Oryzias latipes: one gene and its partners. The protein of the gene in region 3 purifies or fractionates together with the protein of the main gene of each other region. This does not show direct contact. Links are inferred from orthologs where the notes say so. Each region holds a gene or a part of one and is shown on either strand. Other genes may lie near its edges. The genes, in order: clspn, rfc5 and rad9a.

Evidence for each region.
Region 1: the proteins of rad9a (region 3) and clspn purify together in Homo sapiens (affinity purification with western blotting; 3 studies listed by BioGRID and IntAct, with this or other methods). This does not show direct contact. The link is inferred for Oryzias latipes from reciprocal best matches to the Homo sapiens genes RAD9A and CLSPN.
Region 2: the proteins of rad9a (region 3) and rfc5 purify together in Homo sapiens (affinity purification with mass spectrometry; 3 studies listed by BioGRID and IntAct, with this or other methods). This does not show direct contact. The link is inferred for Oryzias latipes from reciprocal best matches to the Homo sapiens genes RAD9A and RFC5.

The regions. Positions count from the first base shown.
Region 1 is NC_019869.2:20,041,001-20,049,085, forward strand, and holds the start of clspn (claspin), read right to left. Parts: upstream 4,749-8,085; 5' UTR 4,479-4,748; coding exon 4,452-4,478; intron 3,820-4,451; coding exon 3,711-3,819; intron 1,308-3,710; coding exon 970-1,307; intron 900-969; coding exon 747-899; intron 671-746; coding exon 611-670; intron 534-610; coding exon 461-533; intron 387-460; coding exon 284-386; intron 29-283; coding exon 1-28. Other genes in the region: protein argonaute-4, read left to right, coding at 7,244-7,262.
Region 2 is NC_019867.2:3,440,943-3,448,986, forward strand, and holds rfc5 (replication factor C subunit 5), read left to right. Parts: upstream 1-2,558; 5' UTR 2,559-2,699; coding exon 2,700-2,746; intron 2,747-2,998; coding exon 2,999-3,063; intron 3,064-3,137; coding exon 3,138-3,274; intron 3,275-3,356; coding exon 3,357-3,436; intron 3,437-3,527; coding exon 3,528-3,601; intron 3,602-3,932; coding exon 3,933-4,092; intron 4,093-5,179; coding exon 5,180-5,261; intron 5,262-5,331; coding exon 5,332-5,461; intron 5,462-6,156; coding exon 6,157-6,427; intron 6,428-6,511; coding exon 6,512-6,611; 3' UTR 6,612-6,648; downstream 6,649-8,044. Other genes in the region: ksr2 (kinase suppressor of Ras 2), read right to left, coding at 1,034-1,207; wsb2 (WD repeat and SOCS box-containing protein 2), read right to left, coding at 7,089-7,311, 7,817-7,933. UniProt on the Homo sapiens protein: Subunit of the replication factor C (RFC) complex which acts during elongation of primed DNA templates by DNA polymerases delta and epsilon, and is necessary for ATP-dependent loading of proliferating cell nuclear antigen (PCNA) onto primed DNA.
Region 3 is NC_019868.2:13,967,262-13,975,522, forward strand, and holds the end of rad9a (cell cycle checkpoint control protein RAD9A), read right to left. Parts: 5' UTR 7,736-8,261; coding exon 7,702-7,735; intron 7,624-7,701; exon of another isoform or gene 7,595-7,623; coding exon 7,524-7,594; exon of another isoform or gene 7,405-7,523; intron 7,399-7,404; coding exon 7,325-7,398; intron 7,241-7,324; coding exon 7,192-7,240; intron 5,932-7,191; coding exon 5,817-5,931; intron 5,725-5,816; coding exon 5,625-5,724; intron 5,516-5,624; coding exon 5,409-5,515; intron 5,090-5,408; coding exon 4,983-5,089; intron 4,888-4,982; coding exon 4,823-4,887; intron 4,738-4,822; coding exon 4,639-4,737; intron 3,611-4,638; coding exon 3,373-3,610; intron 3,358-3,372; exon of another isoform or gene 2,768-3,357; coding exon 2,660-2,767; 3' UTR 2,326-2,659; downstream 1-2,325. Other genes in the region: ecotropic viral integration site 5 ortholog, read left to right, coding at 1-2,258. UniProt on the Homo sapiens protein: Component of the 9-1-1 cell-cycle checkpoint response complex that plays a major role in DNA repair. The 9-1-1 complex is recruited to DNA lesion upon damage by the RAD17-replication factor C (RFC) clamp loader complex.

The DNA of each region.
Region 1 (8,085 bases), on a different chromosome or scaffold from region 3:
CAACATCATCTGAGAGTATTTTGAAGATCTGATGGGAGAAAGATGAAATATTGTTTTCAGAGCAAAGATCTTTGATTTGTTCGCAGGTTCAACTCCAGGGTTGGAGAGAAACTCAGCGCGACTTCCTAGTGCCTTTACATGAAGGGGCTTTTATTTTGAAAAAGCAAACCAACTTCCTGCCTTTTTTGCACTGCAATTCTTCTGCTCAACGACTTAAACGCCTATATCTCAGAGTCAAACTCCCAAACAGAACAAACTACGTTTGTCGTGGGGAGGGTCTTACTTGAGCAGTGCCATTGCGGGACCCTGGGGGCGGGCTTTTCTCCTGTAGAAGTCGTGGATGCTTTTGGGCTCTGGGATGTGGTATGGCAGACCCAAAGAGGACTCTGTGGGGGCAGGAGGGGATGTTAGCTCAGGTGGAGCGGGTGGGGGCGCCGCAGATGGGCGGAGGAGCGCTCACCTCGGATCAGGCGCTGCGACTCGCTGTGCAGCTGCTTCATGGCCTCTCGGCTCGCCCTCGCCGCCTTCCTCTCCTGTGGACAGGAGAACAACAAGTTGATCACATGACTGACACTTCCCTGGCTTGGGGGGAGACTCTGGCTCCGCCTACCGCGCGGTGGGGCTTCTCCGCTGCCTCGTCATCGTCATCCCCCTCACTTAGAAGGCGTTCCTAAAGAAACAGAACCTTTGAGCAAGGCTTCATCGTGGAGCCCCAGCAGACGGCTGACTCGGATATTTATCTTAACCTCCTGCTTTTTCATCTTCTGCTTGACTGCAGCTCGGATGGCGTCCAAAGATTCCTCCTCCTCCTCTTCTTCGTCGTTTAGCCCTGTGTCGAACAGGTCCGTGTCGCCCAACGGACACCCGCTGTCGTTCAGCGATCGCGGCAAAGCACCACCCTAACGAGACAAGACGGGTTTTTACCTCACCATCTCTCTGTTCCGATCCGTTTGAGCAAGCAGAACTTACCTCATTTTCATCGCCAAACCTCCTCCTCTTCAGCTTCTCCACCGCGTTACTTCGCCTCTCCTGTTTCTCACGCCGCCTCCGGCTCTTCTCTCTGTTCTTCGCCTCTGCCTGCTGCGACTCCTCCCTTCCATCCGACTCGCCGTCCTCGCTGTCGGTGAGCCGGTGGGCAACTCTCCTCTGCGCTCCTTTCCTGCTGCTCTGCTCCTCCTCGCCGCTGGATAGCTGCTGAGCTTCTGCCACAGGGAAGCCGTTTTCTGCCGCTTCCTCCTCCTCGCTGTCACTGTCTCTGATGGCGACACGGCGAGGCTTTCTGTGAGCCGTGATGTCATCATCAGAGTCTGCAAAAACAACAACAAAAAAGAGAATCTGTAAAAAAAATAAACATGAACCGAGAATGAAGACTTAATCCTGAAGAAGGTGTTCACATTAGACACAGAACCTCAGGGCTCTATTCTCGGCCCTTTCCTGTTTTGTCTTTATCTGCCTCCAACAGGAGGAGGAGGAGGAGGAGGTTGTGGAGGAGCAGTCATGAGTCTGGTTTGTAAAACAGTGCAGCTTTTTTTCTTTTTTAACATAAATAATAATTTGCGACAAAGCTTCATGTAAAATTCATTTTTTTATGTTTTATCTAAAAACTGTTTTTTTTAGAGTTTCCTCGTGTTTCTCTAGGCATCCCGTATCAGAGTGACCCAGAGAAGCACTGCACGTTTTTCCAACATCCCGATCATTCTAGATCAGTGGTTCCCAGCGAATGCGGGCCGGTACTGGTTCGTGGGACAGTTAGTACAAAGAGAGACAAAAACACATAGAATTTGATTCTGAGGGAAGTTTTATTTAAATATGCATGTCAAGGTGGATTTTTGTTTATTATTTTATTTAGAAAATGCCAGTTTTAGTGAGTGTTTTCTTCTTCTTTTTTTATCCGTCGCACCAAAGTTTTTTTTTAACATTTCTGAGTTGAGGGAAAATCTAATTCACATTTTAATGGTTCATTCATCTTCTAAATCTGTTTATTCCCTTTCGGGGTCACGGGGCTGCGGGAGCCTATCCCGACCGCTCGTGGACGAAGGCTTGGGACATCCTGAACAGGTCGCCAGTCTGTCGCAGGGCCACAAATCTCAGACCCATGCACTCTCACATTCACACCTATGGACAATTTAGAGTAACCAATAACCTGTGAAGCATGTTTTTGGACGGTGGGAGGAAGCCGGAGAAAACCCACGCATGCACGGGGAGAACATGCAGCCAGTTTACACAAAATGTAGAGAACAAATAATGTTTTAACAGTTGCTGATGTTTTACATAGGATGAAGATAAGAGAAACGGAATCTGACCGGTCCATGAGAATTTTCACTATCAGTCTGCAAGATCTTCCAAGAATATTCTAAAACAGAATCATGGGGGGTGGAGCCTTCCTGGTTAAGCTAACAGATCAGCGCAAAGTAGCTTTTCTCCGCCTCAGAACCTGTTGGACTTATGTTAACTGTGTGAATGGTTGATGAGTTCCAGTAGTTTGAAGAATGGCCAAACCGATGAGCTATGAATAATCTCTAAAGCTACGTTTACACCGCGCGTTCAAGCGGCCACTTCCGATAAAAGGCTATGGAAACGCGCAAAAAACATGCTGTTCAGGCTTCTAGGTTCGGATCTCTAGCGTTCACGTGTAGCTACACAAGATTACAAGTTTTCGGGCTCTACATATGAAATTCACATCCATTGAACGTGCTCTAAAATATAAAACCAGGTCAAACCTTGACCAATCGGGGGCTCTGATTTGGTAGTGACACACGGATGGCCTCCCTTCTCATTTAAGTGCCAGCTAGGGCTGCGCGATATGAGGAAAACTCGCGATATGCGATATTGGTGGTTAATATTGCGATAACGATATAATTTGCGGTATATAAACAAATAGCAAAACAACCAAAAACATCATTTCCATTTCACTGCAACAGTTTAAAAATCATACTCCAAATGACCCTTGTCGACATAGGAGGCAAACATCAAACATAAAAGGGCTCATCTGATTGATCAACAACGTTAACGGGTCCTTCCGATTGGTTAAACGCATAAATGGATTTATTTGACTCATTAAATACTTCAAGCTGCCGTGAGTTTGTTTTAGCACATTTAAGGTAACCATTTATTGTGATTTTCGCCGTCTTTTGCTGTATGCATATTGCACAGCTTGATGTCCCGATAACGATAAATTTGCGGTATATTGTGCAGGCCTAGTGCCCGCCATTTGAAAATGGGTCGTGGAGGATAAATGATTAATTGCGGTTTGTTTCCGGACAGAATTACATGAGACCAAGTCTTTCATATATCGGAATAGAGATGTGGGGGGGAAAAAAGGCAGATTTATGAGATCTGCACCACTTCAACATTTCGCACCAAGCCTCTTCCAACTGTAGTTGAAGAACCCCTTCCTGCCTGTCCAGTGTGGGTTAATGCACGTAGCTGGGATGAACGTTTTCCTCACATGTGCATGAATATAAATGCTACTGTTGCATTCACTGACTTATTTTATACGTTTCACAACAGATCATCCATGTTGTAGAAGAAAAACTGAAGTTACGCTGCAGATGTGAGGCCAGGCTAGAACAGATGATAAGGGTGCGTTTAAAGATTAAAGATACACAGGACCTCTAGAAAAAAACTAATCCTTTGTTTTTTTGTTAGCAACATAACCAAACAGCACAGACAGAGTGAAGGCAAGTGATGTCCTCGTTCTGCTTCAGTACCTGGGGGGTCGTCCGTCCTCCTTTCCGTCTTTGCCTCCCCTTCATCTGCCGGAGAACCCATCCCGCTGTCCGAGTCGCTCTCCGGAGCAGCTGCTGCTGGCTCCTCTGCCTGCAAAGGAGACGAGAGCCGCAGCTGTGACAGCGTGCACGTGCCTGACGCACCTTAACTACATCCTGTGGATGGTGCGTTCACGGTCCGAGCAGCGGTCGGTTACACTCTGTTCCCAAAATGTAATAACCCCCCCATTAATCTTTTTTTTATGTTCTTTGACCAAAATTGAATATTTAAAACGTAAACTACAAGCATAAACAATCAAGTGTTTTGTGTGACAGAGAACAGACGAATTCTTCACAAAAAAAGTAGATGGCGCCCCTAGCAAAACAACAATGAAACGGCCGCGAACTGTTGCAAACTAGACTTTAACAACTTAAAACAGGATTTATACTAATATTTAAAACCTCAAAAGCCTGAAAATGTTTGCTTTAAATCCTTACAACTGTCCAGCAGGTTGAAATAATCATTTATTTTGAATTAATCAACTGAAACAGTACTCAAACCACCCGACAGCTAAGCTAGCCAAGCCAACTAGCGCGCTTGATGCTAAGGCTAAGAAAAGAAGCGAATAATTTAAAATATTCATACTAATCTATTAGTAACGTTTATATGGTTAGTCTATAAACACCACTACTGTCAATAATCAGGTAACTAACACAAGGATTTGTTGATTTTAACTTCCTCACTTGTTGTTGGGACAGAACCAGGCTCATCTTTGTCTCCGGTCAGTCAGTGTCTGAGTCTCTGCCTCCTCTCACCGAAAAAAACCTGCTCGGACTCGGCTGCTTCGATCTGCTACGCGCGTTACAGACGCGGGATAAAAGCAGTTCCGAGCAACAACCACTATTTTAATCTTTCAGGGAACATTCACAACCACAGACGGTGTCTCCGTTCTTCTCCTCCCGCTTGTTCCAACAACCAACACGAAGGTTTGAGCTTTCGCGCGCCGTGACAGCTGGTTCGCTTGGGTTTTATCGCGAGGTGTCAATCTGTCCTTTCTCGTGTTGTGATTGGTGGGTTTGGGACAGTTGGATCCAACCACTATGACGTAATCATTCAAGAGTTTGTATGTTTTATACACCGCGTATGGGTACAAAGGCGGAGCTTGGCGCTTTTTCCTGTAATTTACGCTTTAAATTTACATTGAAAAAAATAAAAATAAAACATTCAGTCTGCGGTATCACTGCAAACATATATATTCATACAGCACGCTTGAAAACAACCTCATTTGACCAAAGTACTTTGGTTACTAGAATGACACGACTAACAAACAAACAACACTTTCGTCTTAAAGCTTCCCCAATACAAGAGAGACTCTCAAAATAAGGTTCTACATTTTAAAACTGTTTAAACAAATAGATTTAATCTGAATTCTACAAGTGAAATAACATAAACAGAATTAAAAAGTTTAGTTGAATTAAGACAAAATAATCCAATGCAAAAAAGCCAGGATATACTATAGGATACATACATGCTTGTTTGATTTTATTATATTACAATGTTATCTTTACTACTTTTCCCTTCCTTACTGTTCTTGCACTGATGGTGATGCTTAAATCTCATTGTACTATGCACAATGACAATAAAGCCAGTTTATTCTATTCTATTCTTCTATTCATAACTATTGATTGTGTTTCATAAACTCCAATCAGTCTTGGCTTTCTTCTCACAATATAATGTTTTTAAAAAAACGTAAATAAATTAAACCGTGGGCTACACGGCGGTGCAGTGCTTTGTGCTCTCTCCTCACAGCGAAAAGGCCCTGGTTCAAATTCCAGCTGAGAGCTTCTTGTATGGAGTTTACAAGTCCTCCCTGGTCATGTGTGGTTTTTTTTTCCAGGCTCTCTGGCCTCCTCCCACACTTCAACATATGTTGATTGGTTACTTTAAATTGTCCCTAGTTGTGAGTGCGTCTCTGGAAGTGATTGTGTGGCCCTGCAACAGACTGGCGACCTGTCTGGGATGTACCCTACCTTTGCCCGACAGTAGCCAGGACAACCCCATGACCCTAGAAGGAATTTAGCGGGTTAAGAAAATGGATGAAAGTTACTACAGTTTAATGTTCTCTGGTTTTTAACCAGAGTAGTGAACTTTTGTCTAATATTGCATTCACACCGGATGCAGTTTGAGTATCAGTTTCACGTCTGGTGCCCCTCTTTTGACCCCCTTCAAATTTACTGCTTGACGCCTTGACACCCTTCTTTGATTTTTGAACACCCCATTGCTCTTTCAATGTTTGTATAACGTAAGACATAAACATTTTAATCTTAATTATAAAACTATTTTGAAAATGTGAAAACACAAAAAACCTAGCTCCTACTACAATCAGACAGTGGGGGGTCGAAGGGGGGTTTAAGGGCAGGGATGCCAGTTTAGCTTAGTCAGATTGTTAGTTCATTTTAGTATTTTCCTATTGAATTCTATGTATTCATGATCCTTTTGACTTTATGTTTCACTTTTTCAATTACCGATACGAAGCCCATCGAGACGACTGTTGTTGTGAATTTGGGCTATATCAATAAAATTGAATTGAATTGGGGCAAAAAAGTATTTATTCAGTCACCAGTTGTGCAAAATCTTCCACTTAAAAAGACGAGAGAGGCCTGTAATTTTCATCATAGGTCTACCTCAACTATGACAGACTAAATGAGAAAAAGAAAATCAGGAAAAATCACACTGTCTGATTTCTAAAGAATTTATTTTTAAAATATGGTGGAAAGTAAGTATTTGGTCACCTAAAAACGATTTCTGTCTGTCACAGACCTGTAACTTCTTCTGTAAGAAGATCCTCTGTCCTCCACTCATTCTGTATTATTGGCATCTGTATGAACTGGTTATATGTACAAAAGACACCTGTCCACAACCACAAACAGTCACACTCCAAATCCACTAAGACCAAGACCAAAGAGCTGTCTAAGGACACCACTGGCACCTTCACTTTCCATGCTTTCTCCAGTTCTTCTCAGAGTCCTTGGCATTTCTCCAGTTTCTCATGTTCCTTATTCCTGATGTTCCCATCACATATACTATACATATACTGCCACATCCATATATATGTACATATATGAGATTTTTTACAAGGTAAGCTTACATTCTCGTGTTTGAAATATAAGAACTCCTTCATTAATGTATATTTTAAGATTTTTTATCTCAAAGAATTAAACCAGTCCAATTTATTTAAGAAAAACATTGAAATGCACCAAAACTGTGACCGACTTGCATCTATTTCAAATTGAAGGTACGCGACAGCAAATTACGCATGCGCAGTGCGCGTCCCACGTCTTCTGAGAAGCGCAGGCGCAGATACAAATCCCCACAAGCAGTCGCGGCAGCTCCAGTCAGAGTACAGTCCGCCGCGCGTCCATTTATATTTCCGTTTTTTAGATTAGCCCCTTTAAGCTTCGCAATACCGCCCCCAATTTCAGCGTCGGTACGGAGCCGCCAGGCCGGGACAGAGACGGAGAGAGAGGCCTCGGCCATGGAAGCACTCGGACCCGGTAAGAAATGTCAGAAAAACAGAAGCGGCGAGGAGTGGAGGCGCTAGCCGTGTTTGGGGCGCGTGAGCACGGACGCGCGGACTCACTGGGGGCCGAGGCCGGAGCGAGGCCTCAGCAAGCTTGCGGGGGGAAACAAACCGAGGCCCAGCCCGTCGCAGTCGGACCGTGGAGCTCCACCGACCGATCGAGCGGGGGTCGGTGGGTGTTTTCGCCAGAGGTCCGCGTGGGTTCAGGCGGAGCGCCCGCAGCCGCGTCATTTGGAGCAGGCTTTGTGTGTGAGGGGGATTTAACTGGCAGCTTCCTTCTTCCTCCTGGCTGCGCGTCGTGCGGTGTTTATGTCGGCGCCTGTCGCTTGTGCCTGTCTGCTTTCACAACAACAACACAATTTGCTCACGATAGACTCACAACTCTGTCGAAATGCAATACAGTATCGTGTTTTTCTTTGGTTAAAACACCCCACGTTTTTCACCGTCGGCCGCGGCTCCCTCACTCGACTCGATGACAGCGGAGGCTGCGAAAACAAAATGAATGCCAGCAAAACACACACACACGCGCGCGCATTTTTTTTCCTGTCTCGTGGGTTTCACTGTTATCGGTTCACGCGAGCCCTGAGCCGTCTCAGCGGTGCGCTAGGATCGACCGAGCCCAGCTGGGTGAAACGCAGAGGATGCGGCTCCCGCATGACAACAAAGACCCGCAGAGAGCACGCGGGTGCAGTGGCGCGCGCTCACCGTCGCCACCTGTGAGATGTTTTTGTTCCTCAAAAGCGCTTTTTTGGGGGGGTTGATCCACGCGCGGGCTTGATTATATGCTGCTTTGGAGG
Region 2 (8,044 bases), on a different chromosome or scaffold from region 3:
TTTGTAACAACCCCACCATTATGTTTGATCTTCATTCATCTTTAAAAAATTATAACCTTTGCAAGTGCATAATATAATTCTCACAACGTTCCTGTTTGCTTTGCACTTTCCAGCCTGATGTTTGTGCTCCATGTTTATGGATTAAGTGTCTCCTCAATGAAGAGCTCAGACATGAAGCATTAGAGCAGCATGTTGATGTGTGCAGCACTCTCTCTCTTTCAGGTGACTTTATGGTCTCGAATGTAGCTTTTCAGTTCTGTTAATCCCCCTGGGGGGGGGGGGGGGGGGGTTAGAGTGTGTTGAAGGCGTGCAGAACCTCAGATGGCTTTATGGGCCTCTTATTGCACTTAATACTGTTTGTTTTAATCTCTTGGGACAGCGTCGTCACATTCTCACAGGTGTTTATGGCTGCTCTGCGTCCGCAGCACTCACGCTGACCTTTCTTCCTGCGTGCGGCGCTCTGACTCTGAAGCAGGTCCGCTGGCCGGTTAAAGGTGGACCATCTCAAACGCAACACCGGGTTATTGTGACCGTTACATAACGTAATTTACAGAATACCCCCACGGGCCAATTAAAGGATAGGGATGTTTTGTAACCTTGTCGGTATAATCTGGTCGCCTTGCGTAACGGCGGCTGGGTTTGGGATGAGCCCAGAGCGCGCGCAGGCTGGCATGGCACACCGGCAACGGATTGTAAACACGGGGCTGCACGCGCAGGCCTCACGTATATATCTGATGAAGAGGAGAGCCACCTTCTCTTCCCGCCACCTGCAGAATGCGCAAGTCTCCAGCAGCCCACTGCAGCCCCGTGGCCTCGAGATTTATTGCACTGCACAGACAGAGCCGCGCGCACGGATGAAAGGCTGTGGAGCTTGGAGCCCCTGCATATGGATGCAATGACAGCACCAGGGTAGTTTGCTGCTGGGAAAAAAAAAAACAGCATAAACGTGCAGAGTGGCCTGTAAAAACTGACAGCCCTGGGTGATGCTTTAGTTGAGGATGCAGAGCAGTAATTGAGTCAGGGAGCCGCTTACCTCCAGCGTTCGGATCTCTTTTTGTGTCAAGTCGTTGGATGTGGCACATTTGGTCCGTAAACCCTCCAAACTAGAAATGCTTATGTCAATCATGTTCTGCACCAACTCGCACTGCTGCAAGGCTTTCTGCAAACTGAGATGCTGCTCCTCGCTTTTTGTCATCTCCTCGTTCATAGTTTAGCGCGCGCTGGATGGTATTTTTTCCCCTTAGTTTGTATTTCCAAGACAAAAAAAGAAGAAGAAGAACAGAGGGTTAAAAAAAGAGGATAATTCAAGAAAGAAACGTGGAGGAGCCCGCGGAAAAGAGCAACCAGCACAGCGCAGTGGAAAGAGATGCTGCAGGCTTAGACTCTGGCTTTGAGCCGTGAGAGGGTCGCCTCCATTGCAACAACAGTCCTCGCAGCTCCAGCTGGATGATCAAGGATGTAAACTAGACCAAACTCAATGTGAGGATGCGGAGCGGGGCTGAGCGGTCTGCTACAGCATCCATCGGGCGTCCTTTCCGTTCTAATGGATGCTGAGGAAGGGGGGGGGGGGGAGAAAAAAAAGGGGGGGAAAGGAACCAAATTTGCTGCTCAGCGCATCCTAAACAGCCGGATCGGGTAGAACCTGGCGGTTTTAAAGGTGCTGATGTGCGGATTGGATGCAGGTACTCCCTGTCTCCCTTGGCAGCAGCTGCATCCCGGTTCGCTCCCACCACACCGACATGTTTCCCGTCAATCAAAGCCACAGCAACAGCATCGCAGCGCCGCCGTAAGGGGCCGCTCTCGCGTGATCACGGCGCGCTCAAGTGGGTTCTCGTCTGCTGGACGAGAAACGCATCATCTGCGACAAATGATCTTTATTTTTCAGGGTGATATTTCATCAAATTAAACATAATTCAGCAATCTTACTAAAATGCAAACGAAGTGCCTGTTAAACTAAAAGGTTAAACAAAATTTGAAAACATTTTTTAAAACATTTATTGTGTGTACTCACCCAAGTTATTAAATAATGGGGGGGGGGGGGGCATGTTTTACTTATTTATTTATTGTTTTTGGTTGTCGCCTGGTTAGGTAGCTAAATAGTTAACGTCTAAAGCGTATATTCTAAATGAAACGTATTAAAAACCAAACAGATTAAGAAACTTGTGTATTTTTCTATTAATTTAATTTACCTATTTTACGAAATACTTATTGCACAAGTTAGATAGAAATGTATGTACATCAGGGGATTAAATATTGTTTTTTTCCTGTTAAATGCTTTAAAGTCTTATACAAATCTTTAAAATTAGTCTGATTTCCACAGCACATTAATTTTCGTTCTGAAATGTTCAAGAAAATCGGTCAAAAATGTTTTCGCCTACGGATAAATATCAAACTAACACAGAGATTTCTATTTTACAAGATAATCAACTCAAAAATGTTTATAAAATAAACAAAAAACAATTTTAAGCTTTACTTTAGAAAATATTAAAATTCTTCAATTGATATTGTGGTTTTTTTTACAGTTTACCTTCAACATATCACCATGATCCCACCCACCGGAAAGCAAAACGACATTCTGTTGGTGTTACGTCATGACGTTGGCGTGCGTTTCTGTCGCGAGCGCGGCAAAAGGAAGCGACATAGAACAGACGGGGTTTTTCCTCTACTTGCCCGGCTAATAAATAAAGTTACCGGGAGTCATGGCGTCTACGAGTAGGACCCCGTTACAGAGCAGAAACCTGCCATGGTGAGCCGCGACGAACGAGACGTTTGAGAAGCGGCGAGAATGTCGTTGTTGTCTAAGACTAAGCTAGCTGCTCCTTCAAGTTCTTGTTTGTCTCCAGTCAGAGGCTGTGCTTTTTTTTTTTGTTTTGTTTTCTTTTAAGTTTGTTCAGCTTTTTAAAGGCCTACACACTTCTTAAAAAGAAGGGAAAAAAAGAAATATTCTACTAAACAACGTCTTTGTTTTTGTGCTAAAAGTGTTTGTTTTGCATTTCAGGGTAGAAAAATATAGACCACAAAAACTCGATGATTTAATTTCACACAGAGACATCCTGAGCACCAGTAAGTTTGTTCATTTAAGGAAGCAAATCGACTCTGTGGTGTCCAGAGTTCTGAAGGTCTCCATGTCTCTTCAGTCCAGAGGTTCGTCAGAGAGGACCGGCTTCCTCACCTCCTGCTCTACGGGCCTCCTGGAACCGGAAAGACCTCCACCATTCTGGCCTGTGCCCGGCAACTGTACAAGGACAAGGAGTTCAACTCCATGGTGCTGGAGGTACCGTCTCCACTCAGGATCTTTAGTCTGCAGGGATTTTCTCATCTCCAAGGGTCCTGATTCTGATTCTCTTCTGTTCAAGCTGAATGCTTCAGACGACAGGGGTATCGATGTGGTCCGAGGTCCCATCCTGAGTTTTGCCAGCACCAGAACCATCTTCAAGTGAGTCGGTACCGCTCCAGCTCTCTGTGACCTTCTGCAGAGATTCCCTCCAGACAACTCCAAACTCCTTTTTCCTCCCTTTGATCCCCAGGAAAGGCTTCAAGCTGGTGATCCTGGACGAGGCCGATGCCATGACCCAGGATGCCCAGAATGCATTGCGGCGAGGTGAGCCATCTGTTCGCCTAAGTATGGCTTGCTGTGAGCGACACGGCTCACTGGGCAGCCAAATCATTTGGCTGATGATGCATGGGTCTGCATGAAAACACAACCGTTTTCTAAAATAATCCTTTGCATTGATTTTGTTGATTAAAATTTTTTTTTTCATAGGTGTTGAAAGTAGGTTATCGTCAACGATCTCATAAACGAATTAAGATGTTTGCAGATTTTCAAAATAAGACGATTTTAAGTAACTTTATCCCATTGAACTAACGTTTTGGCAGGTAACAGTCTGTCTTTTTATTTTTGTAAACTTCCTGCTGTCTCCCGTACGCCTCAGTGATTGAGAAGTTCACAGAAAACACCCGGTTCTGCCTCATCTGCAACTACCTTTCCAAGATCATCCCCGCCCTGCAGTCCCGGTGCACCAGGTTCCGCTTCGGGCCTCTGTCGGCGGACCAGATGATCCCCCGGCTGAGGCACGTCATTCAGGAGGAGAGGTGAGGAAAACCGGGACCGCTTTCGGCCTCTGAAGTCTCTCACTTTCTGAGTCTGTCAGAAGCATTAAAAACGACTGTGATGTTGACATGAAAAGATGCTTTCAAAGGATTTTTGAAAAATTAGGACTATAAATGGAATGAAAAACTTTACATTCTCGTTTCTGCCATTCGCATTCATCGCTTTTTAAGCTTTTCATTAAGAATCTCTCAGTTTTCTTTTTTTCTTTTTTTGATCCGATTTCACGTTTTTTTATGCTGATACCCGAGTCTCGCTCCAATACTTTTATAACACATTTTAAAAGTTGAATAAACAAATGCAGGTTTTCCCGTTTTTATTCTATTCCCCCTTTATTTTGTCAGAAAAAGAGCACCTCTGTGAACAATTAAGTACAAATAGTGCAACCATCAACTAGAAAAAATAACAAACTATTAACTGGTAAAAATAGTTGATAATTAGTCATGTGAGAAAGTTTGGTGACTGTAGCTTTGGCTCTTCAGAGCTTTTTGGATCAGATGTGATTTTTTTTTTTTTACTTTGGGAAAAAGAAATACCCATTTTTTTAAAAGGCATGAATATGATGAGTATTTATGACTTAACTTATATAAACAGAACCATTTATGTATTTGTGTTGTTTTTGAGAGTTTATTATCTTCTGATCACTTTTTCACAGAGCTTTCTTTTTGTAGACGGTCCCTTAGCAGCTCTTTTCACTGCCGTTTCTCTCTTTAATTCTCCGTATTTGAAAAACACATCGCATTTTTCTTTAAAGGTCATCGTTTACGTTAAGACAAACCAATAGAGACACTTGCTGTCAGTTTCAAATGTTAATTAAAAGAATTTTGAAACCTAGAAGTCCAAATATCCTTCAGACTTTACCAAACTGTGTTTGTGCGCCTCCCGCTCAAGCTAGTGCCATGTTTTTGCTGCGTTTTAGGGCAATAAGATGTTGTGATCCGTCCATGAGATGCAGACGTCTAGTACAGGATTTATCTGTAAAAATAAGCTTTAAATGCATAGCGCTGATCATAATAATTTTCCTCTTTAAACTTCCTTTTGGCCTTTAATGAGCTGAATCTTGTCTGGTAGCATCGACATCACCGAGGATGGGATGAAGGCCATCGTGACTTTATCGTCCGGCGACATGAGGAGGTCGCTGAACGTCCTGCAGGTGGGACCTCCTCACTCCTCCTGCCGGGATGTTCTCCAGCAGAGAGGAAAGACTTTTCGTGTCCTTTCAGAGCACCAGCATGGCGTACGGGAAGGTGACGGAGGACTCCGTGTACACCTGCACGGGACAGCCGCTCCGCTCGGACATCGCTAACATCCTCGACTGGTGCCTCAACAAAGACTTCACCTCGGCTTACAAACGTATCCTTCCATCAAACCCACATACAGAGCTGGAACCGCTCTTTTAGAAATCTAGACTTTCATCCGTTAGATCAGTGATCCCAAACCTTTTTTGGCCTCCAACGTTTAACGTCGGACTATGGTCGTGTCCGAATTCCTTCCCCTTTGTAGAGCTGTCCGAATCTACAATTCCCAAATCCAGTGTCCTGGAAATTTCCCAGAAGTCTCTGCGAAAAACCAGTGTGCATCAATGCTCACTAGATCGATAGACCACAATGCATTGCGTCGGAACATTTTTTGCCATAAAAAAAGTATTTTTTAAATAAACCATCAACGTTTTTATCTTCAGCAGACTTGTAAATACTCGTCGCAAAACGCTCATAGTAATTAGATTTTCACTTTGTGAAATCGATGACGTCATATCCGCCGTTAAAAAAAGAAAAGTAGTGAGCAGGGTGTCTAAAATCCAGGGCACTACATAGTGCAGCACTGTATAGTTTTTTTTCACAGCGATCCGAACGCGGCAGAATCAGCTTTTCAAATTAAAATGCTCATGAAATGAAGTCTAAAAAACATTTTGACAATATTTTACAAATAATGAAGATTCAGTGAAACGTAGTTTTTAAAACTCATTTCAGTCACGTTTCACTTGGATTGACTGAAGAAGTTTCTAAAATGCTTTTTTTTGTGTGAATCTTTAACCTTTTTGATGCCAGAAATCCTCCAGCTGAAAACTTTGAAGGGTCTGGCTCTTCATGACATCCTCACCGAGCTGCACCTGCTCGTTCACAGAGGTAATCCAGCAGAAATACTCCCATTACCATCGTGGAGGGAGGATTTTTTTTTTTTATCCTCCTCACAGTTTCACGTCTTAGTTTTACATCCTAAAGCAAGCATCTCCTCTGAAACGTTTTCCTCTTCCTCTGCTGAAGTGGATTTTCCTCCTGCTACCCGCATGACTCTGCTGGTGAAGTTAGCCGACGTGGAGTGAGTGCCGCCGCGCCGCCTCCCCCTCCCCCCCCCCCCGCATGAACGCTACAAATGTGCTGACGCGTCTTTTTTCACTTTCAGACACAGACTCGCTTCGGGAACGGACGAGAAGATCCAGCTGAGCTCCATGGTGGGGGCTTTCCAGGAGGTCCGGGACCTGGTGGTCAGCGAGGCTTCATGAAGTTCAGCAGAATTAAATACTTCAAAGACCCCAAAAATGTCCTCGGTTTTTCTTTCTTTTGTTGGTGCATAAAATCATTAAAATAAACACAACTTGCCGGTTAAAGCCAGATTGTTCTTCCTGAAAAACATCATCTTTCAACTTGGAGATTGAATCATTTTAATAATTATTATTGTTCCTTCCTGTTATCCAGTATTAAGGTGTGCAGGTTCTGCAGAAGCGCTCCGACCACCAAAGGGTTAAAACAAATATTTACAAAATAAATTAGACATAGAAAACTGTGATATTCAAGCTAAATTAGCAGAACATTTACTAAATGCTTCTTAAAGTAGTAGTGCAATAAATGAAACTCTTAGTGCAGGATTATTTAAAGTAGAATACACGAGCGGATTTTCCTTCTTTATACGGCAGTTTTCCATCAGAAAACCAAAACCAAAAATAAAGGCCTTTTGAGATGAGAGTGCGGCGCGCTCCTCCTCAAGACTCCCAGTCCTCCTCCTCGTCATCAGAGGAGGAGGCGCAGTTCCTGAGGCGTTCGGGGATGTTTTTATAGGTGAGGTATTCCACGATCCTCTTGGGGAGGGGCAGCGCCTCGATCTGCTGCGTGGAGACGGAGAAGCGCAGAGCGGACCGGCACAGGTGGCACAGGCTGGGGACGGTCACGGGCGCCCTCCAGAACCGGACGTGGCCGTCTCGGGTTCTGTGTGAGGAGAGACGGCCGTGGAGTTAAGGTCATCGCCGGAGGGGAAGGTCAACAGGATGTGGAGGGCGATCAAGTTCGACATTCAGCCCCGAAGGGACAAATATAAAAGCAGGTCTGTTTAAAGAGCCGCTCCAATTATCTTTTGATCTACTTTCACAGCGTTCCCAGCGGTCTTTGAATTAGAATGATGCAGTTTTTAGCCAAAAATCTGAAAAATGCTGCATGAACTCCATTGAAAATTGTGTTTTTGTGGCATTTTTCTGATGATAAAGGACATGTACAGAAAATTTAGCTCAAACTTGCATCTCCGAGTATTGATTTGAATCGTGAATCAGAAGCAGATGAAAAAATGCAGTTTGTGACACAGAAAATATGCTGGGTTCCCCGCTATGAGCTCACAACAGGGGGGATGCCAAGGATCTTGCCCACAACTCGGAGGTTAATTCCCAATGAACTAAAAAGACCGACAAAAGAAGGTTGGAGTGGGGGGGCTTTTCTTTACCCGGTGGCGACCACGCCCCCTTGTGGGTGGTAGTTGCAGCACAGTCCGTTGGAGTCTCTGTCCCTCCTCGTCTGCATCGTCATCCGTCTCTCCCCTGGCTCCCAGATCCTGAGCGCTCTGTGGACCGAACATCTCAGACGTTGGTTGTTGTGGGAAAAATGTGCCCCCTCCCTAATAGCACCATTAACCACAGGATCACTTTAAGTGTGAATTTAAACATTAACATCT
Region 3 (8,261 bases):
AGGAGCTAGGCAAGTGGAGGAAAGAGAGGCCCACATCTAAATTTGACCCTAGAGCCCGTTGCCATGGATACAGGATGGTGTGGACAAGAGCTCGAGAGAAAAAAGCAGAAAAAGAAAAAACTCAAAAAGTCAAAGGGAACCTGACTCTGTCTCTCGCTCGCTCAGCCTCTACTCTTTCGCTGTCACCTTCCCTTCTTCGCAAAAAGTGGAGGAAAGTAGGAAAAGTCTCCACAGATGACCCTGAAGGTGGTAAAAAAGTTGTGAGGCACCTTTCCATGGGAGAAAGGGGCGACTGGAAAAACTGGACAGATTTAAATTCCGAGTTGGCAACCAGTGTTCAAGAAGAAGAGGAAGACTTCATTTCAGAGGGAAACAAACCACAGAATTTTTTCACAACAACAACAGAGCAAGAGAAACTCAAAACACCAAACCCATCAACTGAGCACGCAGGAGAAAAAGTCATCGTAACACTCACACCTCCATGTGAAGAAGAGGAAAAGATAGAGACAACCAGTCAGAGTCAAGTCCCGCAAGAGCAAAAATATGAACAAATTTCCCAGGAATCTGAATTTGACAAGAAAAACAAGGAAATAGACAAGCCGGAGGCAGATGTTGAGCACATGGCTTCAGTGGAGGACGACCACGCCGAGATTCAGGGGGAAGCGGTGCCAGATCCAAACACAGAGGTGCAGGAAAATGTAGATACCAGTCAGATAAAAACCAATATAAAACAACAAAAAGAGGCAGAAGCTGATAATGTGGAGCAGATACAGGTGGATACAGTCACACAGACATTGGAGACAAAAGACGAGAACGATTTAGACTCAGAAGAATTCAGCAAAGTAAAAGATTCAGCTGCCAAAGACCTGATAAAAGACACACAACAGGAGCAAGAAGAGCTGACAACAAATGAATTGAAACCTGCTCTTGTGGGACAAAACCAGAGTAGTGAGGCATTAGCTGAGATAGAAACAACAGAAACTGTTTCACAAGATGTGATTATAGAGACCTCAGAGGAACCTGACGGGATCCCAAATGAATCAAATTCTGAACTAATAGCAACAGAAAAACAAATAGATTCAGAAAAGGAAGCAGAGAGTGAAGACGACGCACCCAAACCAGCATCACCTGAACAAAGAAAGATCCCTGACCTCACAGATGATGCAGAGACGGATCAAGAGGTTGCAGCTTCACCAAACATAGAAACATTTGTGGCTGAATTTATAAAAGAAATAATAAAAAATGTTGTGGCTGAACTCTCAGAGACACAAAAAGAGGGATGTATTGTTGATCAAATAAATCTAAATGAAACACAAGGAGAAACAACGGAGGACAACGCAAAGTTTGTCGCTTTAATGGAAGGTGATGCAGCGAACCAAACCGCTGAGCCCGAGGACAAGACTCCAGAACAAGAACACACTCCTGACTTGCAAGCAGTGGAACAATTGAACAGCCAGGCCACTTTGAGTGTTGCAGACCGGACGGAGAGCACAGAAAAAGTTGCAGAAAACACAGCAGCAGAGAACAATTTCTTCATGTCTACCCAGGAAACCCACGAATCACCTCCAGGCAGTATTCTACAGACCCAAGACCTAGATCCAGACTCCAGAGAAAACCAGGCTGACTCTGAGAACCGCAGTCTGGAGAAAGGACTTGAGTATCGCCGCAGCAGCAGGTCCTCCAGTGACTTTTGCATGCGCCGGTCGTCTCACTCACAGGGGTCAAGGTTAGCACGCAGACTTTCTGAGGATCTCTTCACCTCCCCAGTGAAAAGCAGCAGACCACAATGCACCACTGATCCCTCAAAACCAGATCCTGGAACAGTAGATGTAGTAAAGACAGATGTAGATGAGACATCCGTGAGACTCCAGGAGAAGCAGCCAGACTATCCTAAAGGTTTCGGCCTTCTGCGCAGACTGAGAGGGGAGAAGCCAAAAAACACCAAAGTAAAAATGCAAGTGCCCAAAATCTTGATTCAAGATTTCAGTGATGAAACGGTGTCAGAGAGACTCATGGACGGAGAGGTGGAGGGAAAAATCAACTCCAGAGAGAGAAGGAGGAGGCGGAGAGAGAACGAAAGAAAGGAAAAAGAGGAGGAGAAGCTCAAGAAGAAAAAGGAGAAGCTGGAAAAAGGGAAGAAGAAAAAAGAGGCGAAAGCAAATAGTTTTCAAGTGAAGACGGAGAACAGTAGCGGCGATGTCGCTCAGCCTGCAAAGACTGGCTCACATGCACTGACTTATGCTGACTCGTATTTCTGACAGGAAACATTTTGAGTTGAACATTAATGAACACGTGAAATCTTTAAAAGTAAATTATCTTTACACATTTACTTGAAAAACATTTATTTGGTGGGATTTGACATCCTGCTTCTGCTTTACATATCAGACATATTGCAAAACCAAAAAAATAAATAAATAAACAGAAGTGCTTCTTTTTCAGTTCTATGTGATCCCAGATCAAATCCAACAAGAACGCTGCTGGCCTCTCAGTAACAAACAGGGTCCATGTAAGCCTCACAGCGGGCGATAAAGGGGAGCAGCACAGTCCAAACTGCCACTTTTTTTTTTTATTGAAGAAGTCCTCAGGTCGTGATGCAGTAGCCTTTTCACATCCCCTCTACCGTCACGTCTACCTGCAACTCCCTTGTCTGTCACCCCGCTTAAGATTCATCCTCACTGTCGCTGGCCAACACCTCCTGAGTCGTCACAGGTTGTGTACTAATCTTGGGGGATGGAGGAAACACGGATCCAAAGAAAAGGGATCGGAACTGTGAGAGGAAAAAAACACGAGACGTTAAAAAATACATCATTTTCTACTACAAAGACAAATAGTTATTTTAAGTTGTTGATTTTTCTGTAAAGGCCTATGGAGAAAAAAATAGATAAACCAGTAAACACCCCCATGCCATGTTTGTATAATTATTATTTGCTTTAATCAACACTCAAAATTAAATAATATGCAGTTAGAACCCTTGATACAACAGGTCACAAGTGTTCTCTTTTTAGTGCCAGAGTATCAAGAGAACTGTTAGGGATTGGAAATAATCTGAGCTGCATGCAGCACAAAACTATGGTAAATCTTGTTGTCAACAGTGGGCTTAAGGAGCTGTTACATGGTGTGTCAGCAGACAGACTGAGCAAATGTAGAGCAGTAATCCCTCTATGGATGTACATGTCAGAATAATCTGTGACATCAGAGTAGATGAAGTCTTTAGCAATTTCTATGTTTTCAAATTTGTTTTTACCTGGTTGGTGTTCCAAACCATGTTTTTGCTGTGTTTGTTGGATTAAACCTGATCTTTAAACCTGGAAACTCAAGTTAAGCTTGTGTGTGCAGTGATTAAAAAAAAAAAAAAAAGTATCTAAACCAAACCTTTTTGTTGGGTGGCCTGTCAGAACCATCCTCCATCTCCTCTTCCTCCTCCTCACTGTGTGTTCTTGTCCTGTGATTGGCTTCAGGGAGTTTTGAGGTACAGGGGTCGGTTAGTGTTGATGCTGATGGGCCAGCAGTCGAGGGTCCTGATGCAACACTGGTGTCCATGGCAATTAGGTAGGAGTCCATGTCATCGTTCATAAAGTCATCAGGAGGAGGTGACGGCGGTGCGTGAGCTCTTAGAGTGGACCAGAAAGTCCAGAATGGAAAAAGAAAAAAAAAGCGCCGTGACTAATTTACTCTGACGTTTCAACGCTTGTAAAGGAATTTTCCCTGAGGCTTTTTACACATTTCCAGACATGCAACTCCTCATATTTCAAATACCTCAAGTCCCATGTCAACCAAGTGATTGCTTAGAATTGTTGATCCACAGGTTGTAAGGAAGACGGATTCTTCATTGAGTATAAAAAAGTCAAATGCTTTTAATCAATCCGTCCTTTTGCTTTAGATCGACTTCATTCTGCTACATCAATGATCCACTCCACTAAAAATTATGTTTTTGGTTTTTTTAACATGTTTTTGTGGCCTTTTTCTAATTACAAAGGACATACATAAACAATAATAATAATAATATTATTATTAATAATATTATTATTAATAGTATTTCTTTAGTCAAATCATTGTAAATCAGGTCGCAGACAAAAAATGCTGCTGGAAAAAGCTTGTAGTTGTGACATAAAAGCTGCAATCAGCGGTTCACAAGCTCCCCGCTCCGTTCCATTTTGATGCATCCACTTGTAGACAAACAGATCCATGATCTGGCTTAGAACTGTGTAGCTGGATAGCTCCAATCTGGCTCGCCATTTTTGTTGCATCTGTAATGTTAGGTTTGTAGTGTGAGGGGCTATAAGCTAGTGGAAGAGTATAGGAGCTCTTTTATACTTGGGGGGGGTCTCGAATTTTAAGTAAGTATTCAGATTACCTGTTTTTCATTGCTCCATTTGCTGCAACTGAAAAGGTTTTTTATAAAAACTACCTGGGGCAAAGGCTAGGGGAAAATATACGACGCTTAAACAGAGCTTTCTTTACCCGCCACATGGTATAGTACATAAATGCTGACAGGCTTACTTAAGTAATTTAAGTTACTAGTGAAATGGCAATGCCAGATTTTATTTTTGACATGCATATTCATCTGAAAATGACTGTCAATATCTGAACTGAAGAGACAAGACATACTTCCAGCTTTTTCTGTGTTTGTGTGTTTACCCTTTGCTTTTGTTTTTAGGAAGGCTGGGGTCGTCTGAAAGTGTAGCCAGCACAAAGTTTCCCTCAAGGACACCGTCTGTCACTGAAAGCACCACGGGACTGATGCACAAAAAAAGCACACATAAATATACAGAGAATGAATTCAGATTACAAACGGCAAGGGTCTGACGATAAACGCGCTCACCTTCCTGGTTCATCAAAGTACATGGAAACAGGAAGATTGCTGGACTCTGCAAACACAAGCAAACCCTGAAAGACAGGTGGCATTAAATATAGAATATGTCTATATCTACAATTGCTTTTGCATGGCTCCCATGATTTACTTGGGAAATTAAAAATCTCACCCGAAACTCCTTCAAACAAAAGGTGACACTGTTAGGAGTCTTGACAACAAAATGGTCAAACTCATCAGAAGCCAGACACAGCTCTGTCAGCATGGCCTTGGACCGCTCTGAGGAAAACGGGAAAATTGAATGAAACACCTGCTGAAAAGAACTCCTTTGGAATTTTGCGTCCGTCAGAAAAAACCTGGTCAAACTACCACAAGAGCCCCCATTGGTTCTAAATCAAACTTCTTTCTTTTTTATCCATCAGCAGAGTGATTTAAACATTTCCAGTTAACAACTATATGCATGTGTTACAGCTGAATTTGTAAATATGAACAGTTTGTATTTTACATTTTTTTGGCAAATATGTCTGTACAGTAATTTGCTGATGTTTTAAATAAGCAACCATTTGTCGCTTCCTCCTGAAAACACCAGTGGTGTTACCTGTTTCATCCTCCACATGGTTTCTCACCCACATCCGCTCATCGCTCACCGTCACAGTCACTTCTTCCAGAGATGGAGGGAAGTGGGCGACTGTATCCACCAGCACCCTACAAAACACAGTTTTCATTAGCAAAACTGCTAAATATTCTCCTTTTTGCTAATAAAAACTGAAGGAAATAGTATCAGTAAAGCCGTTTGACAACAATATTTATATACCTTGGCTGCGCTCTGAACTCATTGGTGCAGGTGTCTTTATCAAACACTGCCTGCAGACTTTCACTGTCCTGGTAAGACAGGTTGTGTGTTTTTAAAAGGCCTATGGAGAAAAAGAAAGTAATAAGAGACGATTAAGATAAATACGATGAATTGATGACTGTTGAGTAACTGGATGGAGTGAAGCACTGTTACCATGTTTGCAGTGCAGGGTGAAGGTGAGGCGGTCTTTCTGCTCATTCAGCTCAATGTGACACTTTTCTACCGTTTTCTCCAGAGTTGCCAAAGATCTGAATACAGACTGTACACTCTGACAAGCACAGAAAAAAACAACAACAAATAAGAGAAAAATAATGAATGCACGTGTGTCTGAACATTTACAAAACAACATATCCTAACTGCTTCTTTTAAAAAAGGGTTAAAGGTTAGACATTGATTTGCAAAGTGATGTTACTATTAGGTGAGCTTTCACACAGCAGTGAGAATAGGCGTATTTGGCCCCTTTTGTTATTATCTACAACTGCCAGAGGAAGGAAGCTAAGAGGTTTGAAACATTTTCACTCAGATAACCACAACATTAAAGTTGCTACATGGCAGCAAAGAGATAACTTGAAATCAAGAAAACGGGTTTTAGCTCAAAAACTTTCACTTCTAAACAGTTAAATCGGATAACAGTCGGTAAGCAATCATACATATTCCTATTCTTAAAATTGAAAAAGAAATAGATTGGGGGAGTTTAGGAGTTTGAAAAAATAATAATAATAGTCGTACAAATGCATCGTATGACAGTCAAGATGTCAAAGAAGGGAAATAAAGGGATTTTTTTTTCTAAAAGGGGACAAAAATATGTTTAATGACTAACCAATAAAAGTAAGCTTGGACTGCCAAACTTAACAGGACGGGTGAAAGCTATAAGTGGCAGATTAAAGCAAATCATATCAATGTCATAAATCTTTCATCTGATCACGTTTATATTAAAAACTTTAATTGCAATCCACCTCTTTATTTTTAGAGCACCTTTCATCAACATGCTTGACATAAAAGTCATATGTAAACATAGGTTAAAAAGTCATAAAAAACAGTAGATTAAAAGCTTAAAAGATAGAAGGGTAAAAACATACTAACGATAACATAAAATACTGAAAAGCCAAATAAATAAATAAGTTAATTATATGAGTTACGCAGTGCTACGTTAGAATGATGCATCTTTAATTTACATTTAAAAATCTCCACGGATGCAGAAAATGTCAGATCTGCAGGTAAGTTACTCCACAGATGAGGAGCACTGTACTGAAAAGAGGCCTCGCTGTGAGTCCTGGTTCAGATTAGAGAGCAGGACCTGAGGATCTGACAGTTCTGGAGGAAGGAGTATGGAGATGTAATTGATGCTAATAACAACTAAATGATTACAAATATTACTAACAAATAATGGTCAAAGTATGTTTTATTGGGAAATGTACTTAATAAAGGACAAAGAAAAGTACTTGGAGTCATCTGATGATGAGCTTTGGGATTTTTCACAAAAAGATAAGCAGATTCACTTTCATTGGTAAACAGCTTGAGAATCCACCTTTATTGCTATCTTGCAGCGGAAGTTTCTCCCGTCGGGAATCGAGTACCTGCACAAAAACACGGGCAGTTGGAAGCTGACTTGCATCACTGACACGATCTGTGATTGATTGAAACGAGAGCGGAGCGTGCACCTGCTGAAGAAGAGTGGTGCGAACAGGAAGCAAGCATATGCCGACCGAGAAGAGTTCACAGACCGCAGCGCCAGCTACAAGAGAGAGATGCATTCAAATCAGCACCATTCGTCGACGCAAACAGGAAGTAAGCAAAATATATACATGATGGTTGGTAGGAGGAAGTGCTGGTGTTTCTGACAGCGTCAAAGCAGCTCACCCCGTCTTCCTGGGGCTCCACGTACAACTCATCACCGATGCGCGACAGAGAATGGATAGCTTTGGCCAACACTATTGAGTGGACGCACGCGCCCAAACAGGTAATAACGACAGCTTTGTTATTATTATCAATGGTAGTAGCACAATTGTGTTTCAGTGACAGAAAAATCCTGGTCTACCTTTCACGTTTCCTCCCGTCACGACACACTGCATTTCTGCAAACGAACTTTCCCCGTCGAGTTAGTCTAAAATGAATCCAAACTAGCAGCTGTGCAACACCATCGAAATAATTAAGGGGGCTTTCGTATGTTGCACGTACAACACAGACGCACTTTCTAAACTTATGCTTAAATGTTAGTGGAATACCAAATGTTTTTTTAGGAGACTGCAAGACAGTTGAGCCAAACCTCACGTTGTTTACGGCGCCACAAGCTGCTTCCGCACAGTTGACCAATCAGAGTTACTGAATTTCGAAGAGGGCGCGGCTACACCCATGCACATGCGCAATAGCTTTGGTGTTTTTACTATGAAATTTCTTTACGTCGACACTCGCAGTATTAAAGGATTCAACCTGTCTTTACAACTTATAAAAATATTATTATTTTTTTATTTAACAGACTCCGAAGCAAAGTATATAATATATTTTTCTGATAGACGGACAGCAACTTAACTGTGTCCACTCCGTCCACCACAGCCACCCACTATCACTCAATATCACTTTCCACTTAACATATTACAT